Astyanax mexicanus: one gene and its partners. The protein of the gene in region 2 binds, or shares a complex with, the protein of the main gene of each other region. Links are inferred from orthologs where the notes say so. Each region holds a gene or a part of one and is shown on either strand. Other genes may lie near its edges.

Region 1 (8,192 bases), about 2.6 Mb from region 2:
ATACTTCATATTCATTGGTTTGGCTTGAGTTGCTTTGTCAGGTGTTGTGCTGAATTCTAGCTCTCTGTCAGAATCTGACTCCCCTTCGTGTACGTGTTTTTTCGCCCTGCAGCAGAATGCGAATGTTTCTGAATCAGTTGTTCTGATTTTGCTATTTATAGGTAAAGGTTTGAGTAAAATTAACATTGTTGTTTTATTCTGTAAACTACAGACAACATTTCTCCCAAATTCCAAATAAAAATATTGTCATTTAGAGCATTAATATGCAGAAAATGAGAAATAGCTGAAATAACAAAAAAGATGCAGAGCTTTCAGACCTCAAATAATGCAAAGAAAACAAGTTCATATTCCTAAAGTTTAAGGAGTTCAGAAATCAATATTTGGTAGAATATCCCTGGATTTTAATCACAGTTTTTTATACATCTTGGCATGTTCTCCTCCACCAGTTTTACACACTGCTTTTGAATAACTTTGTGTTACTCCTGGTGCAAAAATTCAAGCAGTTCAGTTTGGTTTGATGGCTTGTGATCATCCATCTTCCTCTTGATTATATTCCAGAGGTTTTCAATTTGGTAAAATCAAAGAAACTCATAATTTTTAGGTGGTCTCTTTTTTTTTTCCAGAGCTGTTGAAGGGTTGTAGTCGTTTACACACCAAGACTAGACCAATTTTGACACAACACCAGTTAGTTTTTTTTTCCTCCAGATTGACTCCAGAAGACTGACTCGGCTTCACGCCCCCTTTCACACCTGATACTTTGGTTCTGACCCAATCAGGGCAGGTGTGAAAGTTCCCCTCATACATCATTCACTTTACCATCAACTACAAACTATAGATCAATCAGTATAGTGAGTCTGAATATATCAGGCACACACACCTTTTTCTCCTCCTCCAGCCCCTGCTCCTTCTGATTGGCCAGTTTCTGTCCCTGGTAGATGAGCAGCTCAGCACTGCTGGTTGCGTAGTTCTTCTCTATGTTCTTCTTGAGTGTGATCTGCTGCAGCTGCTGCTCCAGTTCCACCTTTATGCCCTCCAGCCTCTACAGAGAGACACAAAGAACACTAGTTCATAAATTATCGATAATATATTAAAATAATCAAGGTTTTAACCCTCCTATTATGTTAATTTGTCAGGAACAGCAAGGGGAAATATCCAAAAAAAAAACAAGCATTGCAAATATTTCATTGCTAACTCCATTACTAATTATTCTATCAATATTTAGTGCAATGGTGTTCCTTACCTCTAACAGGTAATGGTTCAGTCAGGATAATTCACTCGTTTTTCATTTTAAAAATATACGTTTAAACTTTGTTTTACTGCTTCAAAAAAACAATACGGCAAATAAAACACAATTGTTTTACATAACATTGAAACATAAAATTTAAATTTAGTTTTAGATTTAGTTTTTGCAGGGGGTGGTTGCAAATATGTAAGATGAATTGTTTTCATATTATATGTTGATAACACTAATTGAGGCAAGCAGAAGAAGTTTCATACTGGAAAAAAAAAATACTTTTAACTATTTTTCCTAGATCTTCAAACTTTAAAACGGGTCAATTCGACCTGTAACATAACAGGGAGGTTAAGTGGTGCTGTTAACATTAATGCATAATTGAGTATGATTAATCTGGAAACTTGAATTAATCATCTAACCAAGTGTGGCCAAACTTTCTCCCATAATTAACGTTTTTCGTATTTTTTAAGCTGTAAAAAAAAGAAATCTTTAAGCCTTTCTAACAGATATGCATGTATCTGCGTATTCTTCTTTGTGAAAAAAAAAAGTTCTTCTTTCTTTACTAATGTAAAACTTATGTTATTGATAAGAATCGTAATGAACAAGTTTAAGTTTAAATAAAGTGCATTTTATTTTTTTTTTTTTTATAAAATAAAGAAGAACCAAACTGACCTATGGTTTCTTTTACTACTCTTGCGTTAGATCCATATTAATATTTAATCAAATATTTGCTGAAATTTGGGGAGTGTACAAAAACAAACAAACAAAAGAAAAACAGTGTGTACTCACCTCAAGTTCTGATGTTTTCTCCTCCTGAACATCAACCAGCTGCTTTCGCAAGGCTTTAATCCTGAGCTCCTCCCTGCAGAACACGAGGACATTCTGTGTTTATAGATCTTAGCAGCACTCCTTAGGCTATATATAGATATATACTGTATACGTCGAGTAGACATTCAATTTGCATCAAAAAAATAAATGTGTATGAATAAGAAATTTAGTTAATTTGATCATTTTTATATATATAGAGCTTATATGAGGATAGTAGCGTCTTATTTTGTGTGCATTACAGACAGCAAACAGCATTCATATATTTTTCCATAACTGGAACATAATTCAGGTCTGGGGTTAAGTACAAAGTTAACCGAATTACATTTGCTTTGTTACTGTCCACCACTGAGGGGGCTCTGAGTGGTCCAGCGGGCTAAGCGCTGCCACTATGATCAGGAGGAGATTGCCGGTTTGAATCCTGTTCATGCAGCTTGCCATCAACTACTAGAGCCCTGAGAAAGCACTTTTGCACAATTGGCCTTGCTCTCTCTGGGTGGGTAGATGGCGCTCTTTCCCCCTCATCACTCCTAGGGTGATGTCGATCAGCACAAGGCATCTGTGAGCTGATGTATCAGTTTCGAGTCGCCGTGCTTCAAATATTAAATACTGTCCACCACAGTATTGATAGTTCAGCGTTCATGTTCAGACCTTATGACAGTGTCATGCAGGTGATCTTCACCATCGCTCTTCTTCCTCTCTTCCTCCGTTGCCTGAACCAGGCTGTGAAAAGTGCCACTCTCTTGAATTTCAGCCAGCAGGTCTGAGATCACCTTGGCTACAAACTGCCTGCAAACAGAGTGGGTCATTATTAGGTTCATTATTATATACATCTCCATGTTTCTACACATCTTATCAGCTACACTGAGCAAACAGGAATACTTTGTAGTTCTATAATAAGTATAGACTGTAGTCCTGTATCTGTTTTTCTGCATACTTTATTAGTTTTTGTTGCTATTTAGTGGTGAGAACAGTATTATTTTGGTGGTGGGTTATTATTCTCAGCACTGCAGTGACACTGGCATGTTGCTGGTGTGTTAGTAGTATTTGTTGTGTTGCTGGTACGAGTGGATCAGACACTTTAGCAGTGCTGCTGGAGTTCTTAAACAATGTATTCACTGTACTTCACTCTATTAGACACTCCTCCCTAACTGACACAGTTTGTAGATATAAAATGCACAGTTTGTGTTCATCATTCACTGGTCCTTTACTTCACAGGACACTGATACGCTGCCCACAGGATGTTGCCTACAGGATGCTGCCCACAGGACGCTGCCCACAGGACGCTGCCAGGATGATACCCACAAGACACTTTTTTGGATGTTCTTGGTTGATAGAATGTTCTCTCTCTACCAGTGATGCTAAAATGTTTAAAAACTCCAGCAGCACTGCTGTGTCTAATCCACTTATACCAGAGAAACACACACTATTAACACACAACCACCATATTTTTATTGCATACAATATGATATGGCACATTATGGAAGTCAATGATGCAACATGTCATGATACAAATAATCATTAGCACTCTAAATATCTAGGACTAAAGTAAAATAAAAGATACTGGCCAGATATAATCTGTATGTAGTACATATTTAATGGAAAATAAGAACAATGTGAATTTTCCATTTTTTACAAATTGCAAAAAAAAAAAAAAAAGGAGTATCCTGATCACATCTAAAACTATCACATTTTTATTTATTTTTTTACATTTTAGTGATATTATTACGCACAATACTATGTGTCAAACCCCAATTCACCACCCAAATAAACAATGTCTACATTATTATGGAGGAAGAAGAATCAGATGTAAGTGTCTGTACCTGTCTCTCTCCACTTTGGCCAGATTGTTGTGGGAGGATGAGCTTTCCTCCAGCGTGCGTCTGAGCTGGTTTTGGGACAGATGAAGCTCTTCCACTGCCTCAGAGAGTTCAGAATCATTTACCCGACTCTTACGCACAGTCTTCAGGTGACTCTCAGCGGCCTGGTGCTGTTTAATGATCACGCTGATATGTGCAGCCTCTGCCTGCTCAACAGTACAGCACAGGATGAGTTAGAATGTTCTACAGTTATTGTTATAGGTTATATTTATTTATAGTTAAAGGTTATAGTTATAAATTACAGGTTACAGTTATAGGTTATAGTTATAGGTTATAGTTGACAGTTATAGGGTACAGTTATTTGTTATAGGTTATAGTTATAGGTTAAGGATAAAGTTATAGGTTATAGTCTATAGGTTATAGTCTATAGTTTATTGGTCATGGTTACAGTTTATAGTTATAGATTATAGTTTATAGGTCATGGTTATAGGTTATAGTTATAGGTTATAGTTATAGTTTAAGGTTAAAGTTATAGGATAAAGTTTTAGGATAAAGTTATAGGTTATAGTTTATTGGTCATGGTTATAGGTTATAGTTATAGGTTAAAGTTATTGGTTATGGTTAAAGGTTATAGTTAAATGTTACAGTTATAGGTTACAGTTATAGGTTATAGCTTACAGTTATAGGGTATGTTTATATGTTATAGTTATAGTTTAAGGTTAAAGTTATAGAATAAAGTTATAGGTCATAGGTATAGGTCATGGTTATAGTTTATAGTTATAGGTTAAAGTTATTGGTTATGGTTAAAAGTTATAGGTCGTGCTTATAGTTTATAGTTAAAGGTTATAGTTTATAGTTATAGGTTAAAGTTATTGGTTATGGTTAAAGGTTATAGGTCATGGTTATAGTTTATAGTAAAAGGTTACAGTTATAGGTTATAGTTATAGGTTATAGTTTACAGTTATAGGGTATAGTTATATGTTATAGTTATAGGTTACAGTTATTGGTTACAGTTATAGGTTTATAGGTTATAGTTATATAGGCTATAGTTATATGTTATAGTAATTATGTTTTAAAGTTATAGATTATGGTTATAGGTTATGTTTAGTTATATTTATACTAGAACAGAGCTGTGTTAAGCCCCACTCTGCTCCTCCAACAGCCGGTTACAGACCTCCTCAGCCCCCGGGCGGCTCCTCCGGTTCTTCGGCATGATGTGTCCCAGAATGTCCAGCTGGTCCGCACAGCGCTCCAGAACCGCGCAGACCCGGAGCCGGTCCACTCCCGAAACCCGGCACGACATAATTCTCCCGTTCAGCCACTGACAACACCGAACTCTGCAATCTGCGCGCTTTACGCACGTTACCCCTGGTAACGCGACACACTGTACGCAACTAACGTATCGGCACGCGCAACGTGGTGAGCCTGCGCACTTAGTGCGCTCACCGCTGGAGGAGACCAAAATGAATGGGAGTTCACTAACTAACTTACAAATTATTTACTTACTTACTTTCCCGGGATATTCATTTAATTTTAAGTATAATAAATTATTTTGTTATTTATAAATATAAAAATTGTGATTAATTTCAACACAAAGAAATCACTGTAAAAATTGAATTACATTAAATTACTGTAAACTGCTAGAGGGAGCCCGGGATGACATGTATTTCAACTTGCATTTTTATATTTTAATACACTTATTTAGTGACATAATTCATAAATTTTAATCAGAATTTTTATATTCTGAACGTAAGAGGTGGCCAAATAGGGGCTACTTGTCCGAGATATTCATTTAATATTAGAAACTAGAATCAAATATTTAGATACAAGCAAAATAAACTTACCTGTATGTTTATGCTGTAGAGACGCAAGCATCACGGCTACTGTGAGCTGATTGGTTGGTGAGCTAAAGCTGGAGATGCATACAGGTATGGTTTCTTTCCCTTTTCCTTCTTTTCCTAACAAAATACTCTATTCCACTGACTAAAATTAAACAATAGGTAGTCAGACACTATTTATTCACCACTAGTAAATGTGGGTGAATAGAGTAAAATGGTTATATTCTGAATTTATGAGGTGGCCAAATGTGCTGCTTAAAAATACATTTAAAAGTAACTTAAAAAAGTAGTTCCATACATTTTTAAATGTAAAAATTCAGATTCCTAATTCTGATACATACCTTCTACAAATATATCTACTGAATGTATTTGTATTTCTGAGTTTTGAATTAAATAGATTTGGATTTAAGGATCTGCATGTATCAAATCTGAAAATCGTGAGTTGTTCATTCTTTCAACACCATTTTCTTTTCGTTCAACACTCTTGTCATTTTATTTGAATACATTTAGCACTAATTATTTAAACACGTTTGGTAAGCTTATTGACCTTTAACCTACATACACATGTGAATCTAATTATGAGAAGAGGTAAGGAGTTAATTGCAAGTTTTTCTCCTATTTTCTCATCTTCTCTGAAGAGTGGCATCGTGCACCTCTCAAATGACCTGAGAGGTCACATCTAGATAAAAGTCATTATTGTTATTCTGTATTTTACATTTACGTATTTCATAGTAGTACAGTAGTAATATGTCTTTTTTTTGCACTGTGCTGTTAACTCTCAGTAGTATGGTATACTGACAGTACCTGAGTGTGATTAAGTCAGAACTGCTGCATGTATCTGCTGTAGCAGCAGAGGGCAGCAGGGTATGAGGATGGAAGCACAGAAGAACAGACCGAACTAAACGAGCACAGAGCTGATCATCGATCCATTAAACTCTACTAATCAGTGATCTACCAGATGCACCTGCACACACCTGACACACAGAGACTATATATAAAGCTATAACAATACAAAGATACACTTTACATTTGTACATCTGCACTTCTGGACACTAGCCACACTACTAAATACATATATGTGTATGTGTTTATTCAGAATTCTCATTAACTGCTGATACCTGCTGCTGTTCCACACTGTATATTCATTATTGCACTGCCTTCTTATGTTAGATTATAATGTCTATCTATCTATCTATCTATCTATCTGTCTGTCTGTCTGTCTGTCTGTCTGTCTGTCTGTCTGTCTGTATGTTAATCAATGTGTCTGTATATTTGTCTGCCTATATATCTGTCAGTCAGTCTGTCTGTCTGTCTGTCTATCTGTCTGTCTATCTGTCTAATAATCTGTCTGTCCGTCAATCTATCTATGTTTGTTTATCTGTTGGTTATCTGCCTGTCTTTCTGTTAATGTGTCTGTATATCTGACTATCTATTTGTATATTTGTCTGTCTATATATCTGTAGGTCTCTCTGTCTGTTTATTTTAGTTATATGCCTGTCTGTCTGTCTGTTTGTTGTTCTCTAAACAGCCACGTGGCGGCAGGACCCTGTACATCCTAGCTAGGCACCCTAGTTAGGCATCTCGCGCTGCTGTTGGGACACGGCCCGGCGGGGCCTCGCTCGATGTCTCTCGGTTGGTTTGTTTGAGTCTGGCTGTATGATAAGCGCGGCGCTCCCCCTCCCTCAGCCGAGAGCGAAGCAGCGCAACGGGGAGGACAGAGCACAGAGGCTCCCGTCTGAGAGATGGGCTCCAGCGCCCGCGCGGCCGTACCCGGTATCAGTGAGAGCGCGTCGGGCAGTGCGGGGGAGCGGCTGAGGAGCTGCTGGCAGGGTTAGAGCGCTGTAGCGGAGTTTAGGATGCGGGAAGAGGAGGAGGAGGACACCGCGACGTCTCCGCTCCGGATCTCCAGGACAAGATGGCAGCAGCAGCAGCAGCAGCGCAGACCCGAGAGCACGGAGTGAGGCGGGTTTAAGAGTTTAAAATGTTCGGAGAAGCGTCGGATCTGTCCAGCTCTTCCCCTCCGTGAAGGTGAGGCTTCTCCCGCAGCCGGACCGCCGGCCGCCCCGCAGCCCGGGGAGAGAGAGCCGCTGCCGGAGCGGGTCAGCGGAACACAGTTAGTGGGGTTACAGAGTTACAGCTGGAGCTGCGGGTTAACTAATTTACAGTCTGATTATTTAATCATCTGATCTGATCTGATCTGATTAACAGCTGCAGTCTGATCTACAGCAGATCAGATCAGTCTGATTATCCTGAGTGGGACTCTGTACAGGGATAGTTAGCTAGTTGGCTAATCTAACTTAGCTGCTAACTCTACCCGGGGAGGGAGTAGTTACAGGCTGGGGCTCAGCGATACGGACGCAGTGCTCTATATCGCGATACTGTAACACGATATCTGTTCACGATACTGTAATCATACATTACTGTAATACGATATGGGATCACAATACTGTAACACAGTATCTGTTCACAATATTG
Region 2 (8,192 bases):
CTTCTGAACTGTAGAAGACACAAAGTCCATCCAGATTTTGTTCTACCACAGTCAAGAAATAGGTTGCAGATATACAGTATATATATTTCCAATGTTAAACATAATTTAATAAAAATTTAAACCACCATCAGCAGCATGACTGATAAACCTACCTTACAGACACGAGCAAGTTCATACTGTAGATCCTTAATAGCAATGTTTTTAGAGTCCAACACTTCCTATAAAAACAGAGTAAGACAATGTTTTTAATGTGCTTTTGTTACACTATTAAAACTGTAAGAACATTAAAACCAGCTTTTGAGACCATAATGAGATCATGTTGGCTACCAAACTCAAACTTAATAACTGAACAGCTGAATAATTCAAATAAATTGTTTCATTAAGTTTTGGTAACATATTGTACCTCAATCTTGCGAGTAACCACGTTGAGGGCTGTGGGGTCTAAATTTGAGGCAGCAAGAACCTCATTGAGCTGAGCCTCTTTCTTCTCCAGGGAGTCTGTAAGAGCAGCTAGCTTCCTCTCCAGGAGAAGGTTCTTAAAGCCGCTCTTCTGCTGCACCTCCTGGATGGCCTTGGTGAACTTCTGGTACAGTTCATCACGCTCCTGCTGCACCTGAGGAGCAGTAAAGCAAAGAGAGAGGACAATTTGAGTAACAGGTCTAATGGGTTAAAGTCTTTAGAAAAATGGATCATATTTATTAAAACAAAAAAAACTATATATAATCCTTTGTGCAGGTGATTTACATTAAATAACAGAAAGTCAGCACAACATAAACAAATAAACTGAGAACACTGAAATTGTCCATTAGTGTACAGTATGTACAATAGTGTGTATGTGCATGAACAGTATATCTCACCTTACTGAACCTTTGCTCCAATACTTCATGTTCCCATTTCAGGTCCTTTATTTCTTTCTCTGCCACCTTGATTCGAGCTCTGGCTCCCTAAAGGAGGAACAAAATAAATTAATTTAGCACTTGCTGTAAAGAATAACCAGAAATATATATATATATATATATATATATTGTATAAATATTACTATAAATGAGGTTTGCAGTTATTTTATTTATTGTTGATTATTTAGTTATTGTTGTATCTGTTATTTATATTATAATTAAGTAATTATCAATATATTACTTTCTTTTTTTATATAATTTTATTTCAAATTTTTCCCATTTTCTCCCCAATTTACACGGCCAATTATCCAACCCACTCATTAGGACTCCCTCTATCACTAGTGATGCCCCAACGCACCAGGACATGCTTCCTCCGATACATGTCAAGACAGCCCCCGCTTCTTTTCGAGCTGCTGCTGATGCAGCATTGCCGAGCAGCCAGCGAGCTTGGAGGAAAGCGCGCTGTACATCAGCTCCGGTACATCAGCTCACAGACGCCCTGTGCTGCAGACATCACCCTAGGAGTGATGTGGGGAGAGAGCGCCATCTACCCACCCAGAGGGAGCAGGGCCAATTTTGCTCCCTCTGACGCCGGCAGCTTGATGGCAAAGCTGCATGAGCGGGGGTTCGAACCTGCGATCTCCGCTCATAGTGGCAGCGCTTTAGACCGCTGGACCACTCGGCGCCCCTAGTTTCATAATTAATTAATACATAACACATCTAATATATAAATATTTATGATATATTGCCTAGCCCTATGATCTACACACACAATAATGTATCAGTACATATTAGTAAAAAGCCCAGGTACAAATTTATCATGAGTCATGAGGAATGAACGCACAGTGCATGTGTGTTACAGAATAAGCCTGAAAGAGACTTGTGCACACCGCTAGTGAGTTTTTGTCTTTATTGTAATTGGCCAGCTGTTTCCGGAGTTCTGTGGCTTCCTCAGTGGCCTTCTGCAGAGGCTCGGTCAGCTGCTTGTTCTCCCGCAGCACCTTTGCCATCTCTTTCTCCAACCTCTTTTCTTTATTCTTCATTTCTCTCTCATTCTCCTGCACACAGAGAGGAGAATTCATTAAGAATTATAGTGGTTTAATCAATAGCAAACACTAGGTTATATCAGACACAGGCATACCTTGAGTGTACTGATGAGGGCTAGGTTGTTGGAAGTGATATCATTGTAATAGGTCTTAATGTCACTGAAAGCTTTCTCATGGTTTTGTATCAGTGTGTTAATGTGGCAGTTCTTCCTTTCTTCTATTTCCTCGATTTCAGTCTTGCGTCTGAGATCCTGCTCCTGGCGCAGAGCCAGCATTTTCTTTTCATATTTAGCCTCTATTTCTGCAAGAGAAAACAAAATAGCATAATTTACACTACTGGTCAAAAGTATGAGAACAGTTAGACCCTAAATGTTTTCAGTAGTCCAAGTGATCAAACCTCTAAAACTTAAGTGTCTTTTTTTAGTCATAATGAGTAATGAGCGATCTGAATGTAGAGTGTTGTGTAAATACTGTGGTAGTGAAACACTGTTGTTTGTTCCAACACTGTTTTTATACAGAGAAAGGGACTGTAAATAGTAAATTGTTTGCATTAAATTTGCATCAGGGTTAATTTACTTCCAATGCAACAGATCTGCTCTAAGTTGTTGACAGGTTTATTCACTTGATTAAAAAATCCTTTAATTAGTAAATGATTTGACCAGTAGTACATTATGTAAAAGAGAGATATAGCCTGTAACATTACAATATTTACTCTAATATAAAAGCAAATAAAAAAGGGTGAGATACATCACCTCGTACTTGTCGTTCAAAATCATTCCTGATCTTGGTAATTTCCTCATCATGTTTCTGGGAAAAGAAGGTATGATTAGTAACTGCATAGCATTAACTAAAAAAGAGTCCACATCTTATCAGCCTAAAGTCTATCAACACTGACTGTCATGTTAGCTGTAAGCTGAGCATTCACACACCAGTTTAAGACTCTTGATCAGATTTTCACTGGAAAGCTCCTGTTCCTTGATATCCACTTTTAGATTCCGAATGCCCTTCCGCAGATCATTCTCCAGGTCTGCATGTTCCTTCTGCAGCAGTTTGGTGGTGACCACTCCCTCTGTCTTGAGCTCTGCGATGCTGTTCTGCTGTTCATACAGCAAGTGTTTCACCTTCTGTTTGTACACCTGAATAACAGAACGAACACCGTTAGATCATTCATGATAGATCTAAACTTTTTCAGTGTTTCATGTGCCAGAGCTTCTCATTATCATTCTTGATACCTTGATCTCAACTTGATGGCGTTCCTCAGCCTCTTCCATTTCCCGATCCCTGTTCCTGAGATCTGCTTTCTTTTCCTCCAGCTGTCTTTTGGTGATCTCCCAGAAGGTGTGGATCTTATCTCGTTCCAGTTGGAAGTAGTTGCGCTCTTCCCTCTCCCTGTCCAGCTCTTCACGCAAGCGGACAATGTGGTCCTCCAACTAATGAAGAATGAAGATAATGACGTAGTTTTAGTTTTAATACTTGGCATCAGTGTGCTTCCTGCAAAGCCACATATATTCATTCTAAAAACAGGGTGTCTGGTAGGTCATAGAACATGAACAACCATAGTGCTAATAATGATGTTGATACAAAAAACTATTGTGAATGTAACGATATCAGAACAGCAAACACAGTCTTTATCAGCTCATTCAGATCTCACTAAACCAAAGAAACACAGAAATAGACCAGGAGAGAACTGGTGAATTAAGGAGAGTGCAAACAGTCACCAGTTTCGCTAACTCTGGTAAAAAGACTTTGCCTAAAATGCACATTTTAAAAGTACTTTTAGCATGCTCAGTGCAAATTCACATCCTCACCAGAACCTATGGACTGTCACTTTAAAGTCAATATACAATATATGGACAACTGCTTATTTTATTATTATAAATAGAGTTCATAGAGCTTTTGTTGGAGTAAATGTCTCGACTGTCCAGGGAAGGCTTTATTATAGATTTTGGATCATTGCTGTTGGGATTTTATTGCATTTAGCCACAATCGTGTTAGTGAGAACAGGATATTGGATGATCACCACCCAGAAGTGTCATATTACACAGTATACATGATTTGTTACCTTACTTGAGTAGAAATGTTGGTTATCTATACTTTACTGGAGTAATTATTTTAAGATGACTTGTAACTTCTACTCCTTCATTTTCACATAATTATCTGTACTTTCTACTCATCACAATTTCACACATTTATCTGTTTTTCTACTCCTCACATTTTCACACTACTATCTGTACTTTCTACTCCTCACATTTTCACACTACTATCTGTACTTTCTACTCCTCACATTTTCACACTACTATCTGTACTTTCTACTCCTTTCATTTAAAAAAATGTGCATTTAAATGCATTTTCCCCTAACATTACTCTTACTTAGATACTTTAAGCAGTTTTGAAACAAGTATTTTTACACTTTTACTTGATTAAAAATAAGTATTTTTAAACAGAAGTATTTTTAAACCCTTGTATCTATACTTATACTTGAATATTAAATGTGAATACTTTTCACACCTTTGTACAGTAACCCACCTCACCCCCATCTCAACAACTCACCACCCTAGAAGTGCTAAATGGAGAACCATCATTCCTAAAAACTCAGTTCCATTGCTCCACAGGGGGGGCAACATGCGTTTAGAATTTCTGTCTCATTGTTGTTGGAACCTTAAAAACAAACTATAAAGCTTTAGTAGCCTTTGAATCTGCTGGAAACCTGTTAGATAATTATCACTGAAGACACAAACAGTAATAATGACATTATAACTGGCTAAAATATTAGTTTACCTGCTCCTTCGACATTTCCTCTGTGGAAAGTCCATCCACCACTGTAGGGCTCTTCTTGCCCTTCGCAGTCTTCCCTCCTTTCTTTTTTGGAGGCTGAAATATGAACATTTGGAGAGGATAATGTTACAAATACCCATTCTCACTGCATTACCGCACATTAATGATGTACTGTTAGTCTATACAGCTTTAACTAACTCTCTGGTTAGATAGCTCCTCCACTAGCTATACCGATATATAACCTATATAACGTTAGCTAACTAACAAATTAACGCTGTTAAATCACACTTACCATGCTGTATGTGTGTAAAGTAGCTAGTACTGGTCAGTCAGATGAGGGCAGTGTGTATTCGGGTGTTTCTGCAGAGAAACTGTACAGATATTCTCGTGATTTAGCTTTAGATAGTTTAGCTACAGCTCTCCTGTGCTGATGGTCTGCAAACAACAAACCAGATCCATGGAAACCAGTTCAGATCTCGCGAGAATAGAAATGAGTCGCTGCAGCGTGGAGCTGCCCTGCAGACTCTCCACACTCACTCAGTAAATATTCCCAAGCAGAAAGTGTTTGTTGTTTTTTTAAGCAATGCGAGGAATCTTTAATCATTTATTCTTATTTATACTACGAAAAAAGGACGATATATATTATGAACATGTAATTATTATGTTTATTCTTTTTGCTTTAATAATAATAATTTAATATTTTTCTTCTGTAATAATTTTACCCCTATCCTTCTTCACTGTTATGTTAGTGTTATTTTTACTTACTCAGATTTTACATTTGGGGTTATGTTCTTTTTTTTGTTGTTCTAATTAATGATCTCTTACTTTGACTGCTTTTATTTAGTGAATTGTTTTATTTTAGCTTGTCCAACTTTTAAATAATTTTAATTCTTTAAAAATGAAATCTAATTAAATATTAATTAGGTTAGTTGATTTTTTAATGCTTTTACATTTTTATATATATATATATATATAAAATATAAATAAAATCAAGTTTTAATTAGGTTAAACTAACATAATAAAATACAAAACAAAACAATACAAAATATACATATATATTCAACAAAACAAAAGTTATAAAGATTCTTTAAAGCTCTCTTCTACTAAATGCAATTATTTTTTCTTAATGAATATAATTATAGTGATTTGACTTTATATTTACTTTGTAATAGATACCATTATTCCGAACTTTTATTTATTCAGACCTAAATAATTATTATTACTTACTGGAAATTTTTGGACAAATTAAAAATAGAAAAAAACATAAATCCTTCGATATTTTAAATTAATTTGAATCCCACTTTTTTCTGTTTATTTTGTTTGTCTATTTATGTTTTTGTTTTGATGTGCTTGAGATGTTGGTTGTAAAAATACTTAAAAAAAAGTTTTCTGGTTGTATTAACATGTGGGACTTTTATTTGTTTTCCGGTAGTGACAGTGACAGCGTTTCCGTACTGCTGTCCAATCAGGAGGCGTGTTGTTGGGTCGCTGGTGGTGCTGGTTATGGTGGGGTCTCAGTTGGGCGCAGCTGCTGCAGATCCGCTGGTTTTAGGGAGTTTGTGAAGATGTCGAGCCGCGCGCTGCGCAGACTGAAGGGGAAGCAGCGCGGCCAGGAGGACCTGGACCTCGCGGAGCTGCGGGTGGAGGAGGAGGAGGAGGCGGCGCGGGAGGGAGAGGAGTTAGAGGAGCAGGAGGAGGTTCTGCAGCCGGTCAGAGGAGCAGGCAGGAAAACCAAGAGGAGCAAATCTCAGAAGAACATTAGCAACATTTATGAACTGGTCAGAACTTTAATAACACTGAACAGCTAAAGACTGATACAGACTGACTGCTGATAACCAGAGTTCTTACTAATACAATAAAACTCAAATTCAGGATCTCTGTAATGCTAAACCTTCTTATTCCAGATATAAACAAACTTATGAAACTCCACACTGACCAGCCATACTCCCAGAATCTCCTATTATCATCATCAATATAACCAGTAATACTGTTACTGTTATTATTAGTACTATTTGTTTACTTTAATCACTTCCTGGCATCTACAATTACATAACATGTACTTTTTAAGTCCAATTAAAGATATAGCTATAGAATTATAAACATTACTATACACAAATAAGAGACACGGTTGGTCCAGAAGATGAATATGATTGTATAGTAAATTCTTTCTTTTTTTAAACTCAGATGTCTGAGACAATCAAAAATACACCATTATGTCAAAATACACCATCAGTATTCTATTCTATTAAAAAATCCAGGTACACATATTAATTAATTAAAATATATTAGAACTCTGGATTTTATGGACATATTGTACAAGTCCTACTGGAAAATAAAATTCACACCTCCATAAAAGTTGTCAGCAGAGGGAAGCATGAAGTGCTGTAAGATTTTGTGGAAAAACAAAACTGCACTGACTTTAGACTTGATATAACACACAGTGGATCAACACCAGCAGATGACATGTCTCTCCAAACCATCACTGATTGTGGAAATGTCACACTAGACCTCAAGCAGTTTGGACTGTGTGTGTCTCCACTCTTCCAGCAGACTCTGATCCCTTGATTTCCAAATGAAATGTACAATTTACTGATGATCAGTGATGGTTTGAAAAGACATGTCATCTGCTGGTGTTGGTCAACTGTGTTATATCAAGTTTAAAGTCAGGGCAGTGTTTTCCCAGAAAATCTTACAGCACTTCATGCTTCCCTCTGCTGACAACTTTAATGGAGATGAGGATTTCATTTTCCAGTAGGACTTGGCACACTGTCCACACTTCCAAAAGTACCAATTGGTCTTATATAATATTCTGATTTTGACACTGATTTTTGGGTTTTCATTGGCTGTAAGCCATAATCATCAACAAAAAGAAATAAACACTTAATAGATCACCCTGTGTGTAATACATCTATATGATATATCAGTTTCACATTTTGAATTGAATTACTGAAATAAAGTAACTTTTCACTGATATTCTAATTTTTTGAGATGCACTAGTATTTTTGTAACTGAAGCTGTAAAAGGTAATTGTATATATGAGCAAATGAGAATCAATGGCATGATATGATTCAGATTGTATAAGGCATATGCTATCCTGGCAGTATATATTTATAGATCATTAGATCAGATATTTTTGATAGTAAATATTTCATAATTGATTTTCAAAGTTAGCACCTCTATTAGGATAACTGCATTACAGATATCTTGATTTTCTATCTTTGCTAATAAACATTGAGTGACTGCCTCTATCAGTTTATATAATTTTCTTAGCAGGGTGGATGTTTATTTGTTTCTGTGCTGTTACAGATTGGTGACCCTGACAATGATACAGACAAAAGTCCCACTGATGAGGAGAACGTGTTGACAGGGAGAAGCCATGGAGTACAAAAGCAAGAGTGCCAACCTGATATGGAGACCACAAAGGTTTAAAACTACATTACCATTAATTAAAAACGGACAAATAACTGTTAAATTC
Region 3 (8,192 bases), on a different chromosome or scaffold from region 2:
CGTGAAACATGTGACCTGTGAGATTATTTGAACTGTAGTAAACGATAATTGCGGTGCGTGTACAGCAGCAGCAGTAAGCGGTTGCGGGTTGCGGCGAGGGAAGCGGTGTGTGTAATGTGTGTATAATAAGTGTGTGTGTGTGTGTGTGTATTGCAGGTGTTGCGGTGTGTGTACAGCAGCAGCAGTAAGCGGTTGCGGGTTGCGGTGCGGCGCGGGAAGCGGGTGGGGAAACGGTTACTGAAGCTGCCGGAGAACCGCAGCAGCCTCAGCCTGTGGCGGGAGTACGCTCACCTGCAGTGGATTGTGGGTAATGTGGAGGAGGGGCGGAGAGTGTTCGACACGGCACTCGCAGTGGGAGGGGCTTCAGGACTGCAGGACCACACCCTCTGCGAACTCTGCCTTTTGTACGCCCAGTTAGAGGTGGAGCAGGCGTGCATGGGCGGAGCTAAAGCCTCCGTGGCTCCGCCCACTGGCTCTCGGGCTGTCTATGTTCTGAGCAGGCTGGCGGAGGGGGGCGGGTACAGCGGGTTCTCAGGGCAGGTGAGCCCGGTGTCGGTTCTAAAGGCCCGGAAAGCGTACGAGAACGCCCTATCAGCAGCTGCAGAGGGCGGGACACCACGGAGTGCTCTGATTGGCTGTTTCGGACTGTTCCAGTACCTGACGGTGGGGATTGACGCTGCTGATGCGGTCTTCACTGAAGCCAGAGAGCGGCTGACACCCGGCACTGCCACTGCCACTGCCACTGGCACAGAACCCGACCCGTCACTCAGAGAGCGCGAGGCCGTGTGCGTCCTGCATGTGGCACTGCTGCGGCTGCACTCCAGCACCAGCGCCTTCCCCCTGTCCCGCCTCCGGATGGCGCTGACCGACGCCCTGCGCCTCCTGCCCTGCAGCGCCACCCTGTGGCACTTCTACCTGCTGACCGAGAGCCGTTACCATAGCGCCGGCCGCGCCCGCAGGTTCTTCCACACCGTCGCCAGGGGCAACCAGACCATCATACCACACCTGTTCTCCATCACCGCAGAGCAGCGGAGGAAACAACACCTCGACTCCGTCATCAGGTCAGAACAGAACTACACAAACACACACACACTACACACTGTACACACACACACACACACACACACACTCTACACACACACACACACACTATACACACTAACCCCTCCCGTCTCTCTCTCAGGTTGGGTCTTCCAGCCGATGCTCTGCCAGTGATCCCGGAGACGGGCCTTAGTAACCGTATCCGCTCACTGTTTGAGGTTGCCGTGGCGACGGAGGAGGGAGCCCACTGCCCCCTGCTGTGGAGGATGTACATGAACTTTATGGTAAAACATCTTTCCCTCTTTTGTCTGTTAACCCTAAAGTGTATGGGTTTCAGGGACGGGGATGAAGATGTTGGTGATTATGGTGATGATGGTGATAATGGTGATGAATGGTGATTATGGTGATTATGGTGATGATGGTGATGATGGTGATGATGGTAATAATGGTGATGATGGTGATTATGGTGATTATGGTGATAATGGGATGATAGTGATGATGGTGATGATGGTGATGATGGTGATAATGGGATGATGGTGATTATGGCGATTATGGGGATAATGGTAATGATGGTGATTATGGTGATGATAGTGATGATAGTGATAATGGCGATGGTGATTATGGTGATTATGGTGATGATAGTGATGATAGTGATGATGGTGATAATGGTGATAATGGCGATGATGGCTATGGTGATGATGGTGGTGATGGTGATGTTGATTATGGTGATTATGGTGATAATGGGATGATGGTGATAATGGGATGATGGTGATGATGGTGATGATGGTGATAATGGGATGATGGTGATTATGGGGATAATGGTAATGATGGTGATTATGGTGATGATAGTGATGATAGTGATTATGGCGATAATGGCGATGATGGCGATGGTGATTATGGTGATGGTGGTGATGGTGATTATGGTGATAATGGGATGATGGTGATTATGGTGATTATGGTGATTATGGTGATAATGGGATGATGGTGATTGTGGTGATTGTGGTGATAATGGGATGATGGTGATGATGGTGATAATGCTAATAATGGTGATTATGGTGATAATGCTAATAATGGTGATTATGGTGATAATGGGATGATGGTGATGATGGTGATGATGGTGATAATGGGATGATGGTGATTATGGTGATTATAGTGATAATGGGATGATGGTGATTATGGTGATAATGGGATAATGGTGATGATGGTGATGATGGTGATAATGCTAATAATGGTGATTATGGTGATGATGGTGATGATGGTGATAATGGGATGATGGTGATTATGGTGATTATGGTGATTATGGTGATAATGGGATGATGGTGATTATGGTGATAATGGGATAATGGCGATGATGGTGATAATGGGATAATGGTGATGATGGCGATGATGGTGATAATGGGATAATGGTGATGATGGTGATGATGGTGATAATGCTAATAATGGTGATTATGGTGATGATGGTGATGATGGTGATAATGGGATGATGGTGATTATGGTGATAATGGGATGATGGTGATTATGGTGATTATGGTGATTATGGTGATAATGGGATAATGGTGATGATGGTGATGATGGTGATAATGGGATAATGGTGATGATGGCGATGATGGTGATAATGGGATAATGGTGATGATGGCGATGATGGCGATAATGGGATAATGGTGATGATGGTGATAATGCTAATAATGGTGATTATGGTGATTATGGTGATGATGGTGATGATGGTGATAATGCTAATAATGGTGATTATGGTGATGATAGTGATGATGGTGATGATGGTGATAATGGGATGATGGTAATGATGGTAATGATGGTAATGATGGTGATTATGGTGATGATAGTGATGATAGTGATGATAGTGATAATGGTGATTATGGCGATAATGGCGATGATGGCGATGGTGATTATGGTGATGGTGGTGATGGTGATTATGGTGATTATGGTGATAATGGTGATGATGGTGATGATGGTGATGATGGTGGGTGTGTGCAGGTGTGTAACGGGGACACAGAGAGAGGAAGAGGAATCTTCTATAAAGCTCTACAGAACGTCCCCTGGGCTAAAGTGAGTCCCTCTCTATATATACGTATAGTGTGTGTATATTTATATGGTGTGTGTTTGTATGTGTTATTTATATATATGTATTGTGTGTGTGTGTGTGTGTGTTATTTATATGTATATATATATATATATATATATATATATATATATATATATATATATATATATATATATGTATTGTGTGTGTGTTTTATTTATATATATGTGTATATATGGTGTGTGTGTGTGTGTGTGTTATTTATATATATGTATATATATATAATGTGTGTGTATGTGTGTGCGTTTGTGCAGTGTGTGTATATGGACGCGGTGCGGTTGTTTCCGGATCGGGTTCAGGAGTTTTTGGATCTGCTGGTGGAGAAGGAGCTCCGGCTCCGAGCGCCGATGGAGGAGGTGGAGATCCTGCTGGAGGAATAAACGCCTACACTACCCACAATGCACCAGACCTGCGGACCCTCACATACCTTTATTTATATTTTATTTGGATATGAAAATGGTAATTTTGTGATAAATGTATATATTTATAGTCTGCAGTGTCCGGGTTTTATTTTTTAATGTTTTTAATTAACGTCTTTAATAAACATCGATTTCTGTAATAAATACAGAACACAGTACTGTACTTTACTCTCAGTACTTCAGTACATTTTACTGTAAACTACTCCAGTATTGAAATACAAATAATGTTAAATACTTCTGTACTTTTACTGAAATGTGGAGCTTAAAGAACTTTAGCTTCCACATCCTGAAACATCTGATCCCACCACTGATCCCAGAACAGCAGCAGCTCAGGAATATTTAACAGTGATGAAGTAATGTCATGTAATAAAGTACTGTAATGTAATTAAGTACAGTAATGTAATAAAGTACTGTAATGTAATTAAGTACAGTAATGTAATGAAGCTCCAGTGTTGATCTTCTGGAGATCTGGAGATTTCTCCTGCACAGTTCTGTAATCTGAGCTGCATTGGGGGGAGGTGGTCTTAATGTTTTGGCTGTACATTTCATATTTCATTAAGCTTAATTTAAATATAAGATTTATATTAGAACAGTTGCATTATTACTTTAATCTATAATCTAATTTATAATCAGATTTTATATAAAACTCAGTCTTTTCTGTGTTGTGCAGAATTTAGAGCTGATTGTAGTTTAGTGGGCGGAGTTTGGGGGGGTTGCACTATCTGGCAACCCAGCTACCAGCAGCGCGTCCGTATCTAAGCAACCAGATCCGCGGTGGAATGGCGGAGGAGCGCGCGCTTGCAGGTAAACATCGGGTTCTCTTTATTAACTCTTTAAACCGATTAATCAATTAATCCAATTACCGATTAATCTCGAACCGCGGCGTCACTGTCAGCGCGGCTCTGCTGGGTTGCCAGATATTAACGCGTTTTTATTTCAGTGACCTGATGCAGAGAAAGTAGGAGAAACAGCGCTGTTTAAACACATCCACGTTCCTCTGATTCATTTACTTACGTTTAAAAATAAAAATAAATAAATCATTCTCTAAATCCAGCGACAAGATCAATAATCTGGCAACACTGGAACACTATAACACTGCTCTGTAACAGTAAAGAGTTACCCAACGCACTTTTAGTATTAATATAAAAAAACTGAAAGCACTTTACCATTTAGAATAAAATGCATCTAATTCTATACCCTCTCTACATCTGTACACACTCATTTATTCACCTCTAAATCACTTTTAGTGCATAAAATCACCTATTAATGTTCCCAGATAAGAAAAAAAAACACCAACAGCTCCAAATCTATAGGATTTACACATCTAAATAACGGGGGTGTTCACTTTGAATCATGGGGAAAATTCACACCCATTAATATTATACAAATCCTGTATTATAACTCTATTATATATTATATTTTATATATTTACAAATTTACTAGCATTTCAGCAACGGTGTATGATACAGCTAGGTGGCAGCAAACACACGCACTTCCTTTATATTTACAATACAGTGTCGATTCTCCTGTATATTTAATTGTAAAAATGTAATATACTGTATAATTGGCACTCTATCCAAATTTCTAAAGTGCGTGTGTTTGCTGCCACCTAGCTGTATCACATACAGTTGCTAAAATGCTAGTACATTTGAAAATATATAAAATATAATATATAATAGTCAAGTCAAATGTATTTCTAATTTAAAAACCACAAATACCAACCAAAGTACTGTACAATACAGAAGTACGAACAATTAAATATATAAAACTAAACAACAAATAAGATATAAGATAAATAAAAAAGTAGCATCAGGAAACAAGATTCAGATTAACCCCAGACACTCAGAACTGAACACACTGAAAGTCCTGAGAGTACAGGTACGATTTTAGATTAGTATTAAAACAGTGATGGAGGGAGATGCAGATTATTCCACAGTTAAAGCTCTGTAATCTTCTGACTTCAGTTCAGGAGTTTAAGCGTCTCTAAGAGCTGCTGATTTTTAGGACTCGTCGGGTTGAATATGGATGCAGAAGGTCGGAGATGATGGTCTGATGGAGACGCTGTTAAAACTTTAATTATAAATTGACCGACAGTCGGTACAGGAAGTCCTGTACAGGAGAGATGGACTCCCTCTCATTAGTCCCAGTTAAGAGTTCAGGAGGTTCTGAAGGTTCTGATCAGGAGGTTCTGATTGTGTTCAGGTGTGTCGGAGGTCCAGAAGAAGATCCGGAGCGCGTTTGATGTTTTTGATCATGAACAGAATCAAACTGTGGACGTCAGGTTGGTTCTGATTCTGCAGATTATAGTGATGTAGAGTTCTGAGTTCTGATCGGGTTCTGTAATGAATCTGATCCGATTTGTTTGTTTGTTTGTTTTTAGGGAGATCGGGACGATTATTCGTTCTCTCGGTCGATTTCCCACCGAAGCTGAACTGCATGACGTCATCGCTGAGGTCAGAGCTCATTTACATATTTCAGACATATTATATTAAATCTGCGGCTGTGTCTTTTATACTGGTTTATATACTAAGTTATATACTGGTTTATAGGTTACAGACAGGTTTATATACTGGTTTATAGACTGGGTTATATATATGTTTATAGACTGGGTTATATAGAGGTTTATAGACTGGTTTGTATACTGATTTATTTACTTGGTTATAGACTGGTTTATATACTGGTTTTTAGACTTGTTTATATGTTATAGACTGGTTTGTATACTGTGGTTTAGATTGATTTCTATACTGGTTTATATACTGATTTATAGACTGGTTTATATGCTAATTTATATGTTATAGACTGGCTCATATGTTATAGACTGGGTTATATAGAGGTTTATAAACTGGTTTATATACTCGTTTATAGACTGGTTTAATGAGCAGTGCTGGAAATGTTGTTACAGATCGAGGAGGAGGAGCCAGCGGGCTTCATCCGTTTTGAGAAGTTCCTGCCGACCATGTCCCGAATCCTGATGGAGAACAAGTAACTCTTGATCACTGCGTTTACACTGAACTGATTAATCTGAATTATTTCAAACTCCAGTTCTGATTGGAGGTTCTGATCAGAAATTCTGATCGGAGGTTCTCATCGGAAGTTCTGATCGGAGGTTCTGATCGGAGGTTCTGATCGGAGGTTCTCATCGGAAGTTCTGATTGGAGGTTCTGATTGGAGGTTCTGATTGGAGGTTCTGATCGGAGGTTCTGATTGGAGGTTCTGATCGGAGGTTCTGATTGGAGGTTCTGATCGGAGGTTCTGATTGGAGGTTCTGATTTGTTCTGTCAGGTTACGTCCCGTTCCTGAGGATCTTCTGCTTCAGGCGTTTGAGGTCAGAAACTCTTACGTTCATCTTGTTCAGATATTAATTTAACTTCAGCGGTGCAAAAGCACACAGTCTGAATCCTGTAGAGCAGGAGATCAGGAGGGAGATCAGGACTGTGTGCTAAAGGTGTTTATAGAGCGAATCTGGTTGTTAAATTAAATAATAATAAATAATATAAATGTGTTTCAGGTTCTGGATCAGCAGAAGAAAGGACACCTGGATCCGGAGGAGCTCAGCAGATATTTAACACAGGAAGGTAAATCCAGCACTTAGACTTTAGCTCCTCCCACTGCCGGTGACATCATCAGATATGTAAAGTTTACTGAAGATTAATTAGAAATTCCTGACTGTGTTTCGAGTCTCAGAGCTGAGGGTGGTGTTGTGGGTGGTGCTGAGGGCGGGGCTGTGGTCGGGGCTGATGGATGTGCTGCTGTTTCTGCAGGAGATCCTTTCTCTCAGGAAGAGATGGAGCAGATGAGGGTGGTGTTGTGGGCGGGGCTGAGGGTGATGTTCTGGGTGGGGCTGAGGGTGGTGTTCTGGGTGGGGCTGGGGTTGTGGGCGGGGCTGAGGGCGGTGTTGTAGGCGGAGATGAGGGTGGTGCTGTGGGCGGAGCTGAGGGTGGTGCTGTGGGCGGAGCTGAGGGTGGTGTAAAGGTGCTTGCACACTGAACGCGGTATGCCGCGCGGCATTCCGCTGTGCTGCCGCTCTGCTCTACGCTGGTCAGTTGCGGGTGCGTTGCGCTGCTGCTGACGCCAAGCGTCTCCTGCTGATAATAGGCGGAGTTTTCTAAAACCCATCACCTCTGTGAGCGGTGTTTTGTAGTTTTGAGTCTCTACAGCCTCTGTGGATCTGTATATGTTTCTCAGCCTCAGAACAAAGCTCTGATTCTTCTCTTCCTCCTGTTATCTCTATATGAGTGTAGGGAAGTGATGTACAGCTGAGGGGATTCACTAATCGCTATTATTAGTCTCTCGCGCACGTTTATTGTTGTTTGGACTACAGTTTCTCTCTAGTCGCGTGAGTTCACGTCATGCGTTTTCTGCCGAGGTACCGCTTGCCGCGAGGTCAAAGTTGAACCATGTTGAACTTTGCCCGCGGTAAGCGGTAGCGCGGTGGAGGCGTGGTTATGGGCGTGGAAACGCGCCGCTTTCCGCTCTGCTCCGCGGCAGCGACGCACCGCTCTACCGCTCTAGACACTATTGAATCCTATGGGGGTCAGCGTACCGCGCCGCATCTACCGCGTGCAGTGTGCAAGCACCTTTATTGTGTTCCTGCAGGAGATCCGTTCTCTCAGGAGGAGATGGAGGAGATGCTC

Evidence for each region.
Region 1: gas8 (region 2) and iqcg share a complex: the UniProt entries of both Homo sapiens proteins name them as parts of the nexin-dynein regulatory complex. The link is inferred for Astyanax mexicanus from reciprocal best matches to the Homo sapiens genes DRC4 and DRC9.
Region 3: gas8 (region 2) and efcab2 share a complex: the UniProt entries of both Homo sapiens proteins name them as parts of the nexin-dynein regulatory complex. The link is inferred for Astyanax mexicanus from reciprocal best matches to the Homo sapiens genes DRC4 and DRC8.

What each region holds. Positions count from the first base shown.
Region 1 is NC_064416.1:10,715,904-10,724,095, forward strand, and holds the start of iqcg (dynein regulatory complex protein 9), read right to left. Parts: upstream 5,279-8,192; 5' UTR 5,183-5,278; coding exon 5,054-5,182; intron 4,086-5,053; coding exon 3,883-4,085; intron 2,849-3,882; coding exon 2,711-2,848; intron 2,097-2,710; coding exon 2,024-2,096; intron 1,040-2,023; coding exon 878-1,039; intron 1-877. UniProt on the Homo sapiens protein: Component of the nexin-dynein regulatory complex (N-DRC), a key regulator of ciliary/flagellar motility which maintains the alignment and integrity of the distal axoneme and regulates microtubule sliding in motile axonemes.
Region 2 is NC_064416.1:13,275,833-13,284,024, reverse strand, and holds the start of gas8 (dynein regulatory complex subunit 4), read right to left. Parts: upstream 5,202-8,192; 5' UTR 5,013-5,201; coding exon 5,010-5,012; intron 4,814-5,009; coding exon 4,721-4,813; intron 3,373-4,720; coding exon 3,175-3,372; intron 3,079-3,174; coding exon 2,872-3,078; intron 2,750-2,871; coding exon 2,695-2,749; intron 2,244-2,694; coding exon 2,038-2,243; intron 1,955-2,037; coding exon 1,787-1,954; intron 945-1,786; coding exon 858-944; intron 614-857; coding exon 404-613; intron 219-403; coding exon 153-218; intron 1-152. Other genes in the region: tcf25 (transcription factor 25), read left to right, coding at 6,283-6,495, 8,024-8,140. UniProt on the Homo sapiens protein: Component of the nexin-dynein regulatory complex (N-DRC), a key regulator of ciliary/flagellar motility which maintains the alignment and integrity of the distal axoneme and regulates microtubule sliding in motile axonemes.
Region 3 is NC_064421.1:67,841-76,032, forward strand, and holds the start of efcab2 (dynein regulatory complex protein 8), read left to right. Parts: upstream 1-4,260; 5' UTR 4,261-4,337; coding exon 4,338-4,362; intron 4,363-5,760; coding exon 5,761-5,839; intron 5,840-5,938; coding exon 5,939-6,011; intron 6,012-6,460; coding exon 6,461-6,540; intron 6,541-6,840; coding exon 6,841-6,883; intron 6,884-7,066; coding exon 7,067-7,133; intron 7,134-8,154; coding exon 8,155-8,192. UniProt on the Homo sapiens protein: Component of the nexin-dynein regulatory complex (N-DRC), a key regulator of ciliary/flagellar motility which maintains the alignment and integrity of the distal axoneme and regulates microtubule sliding in motile axonemes.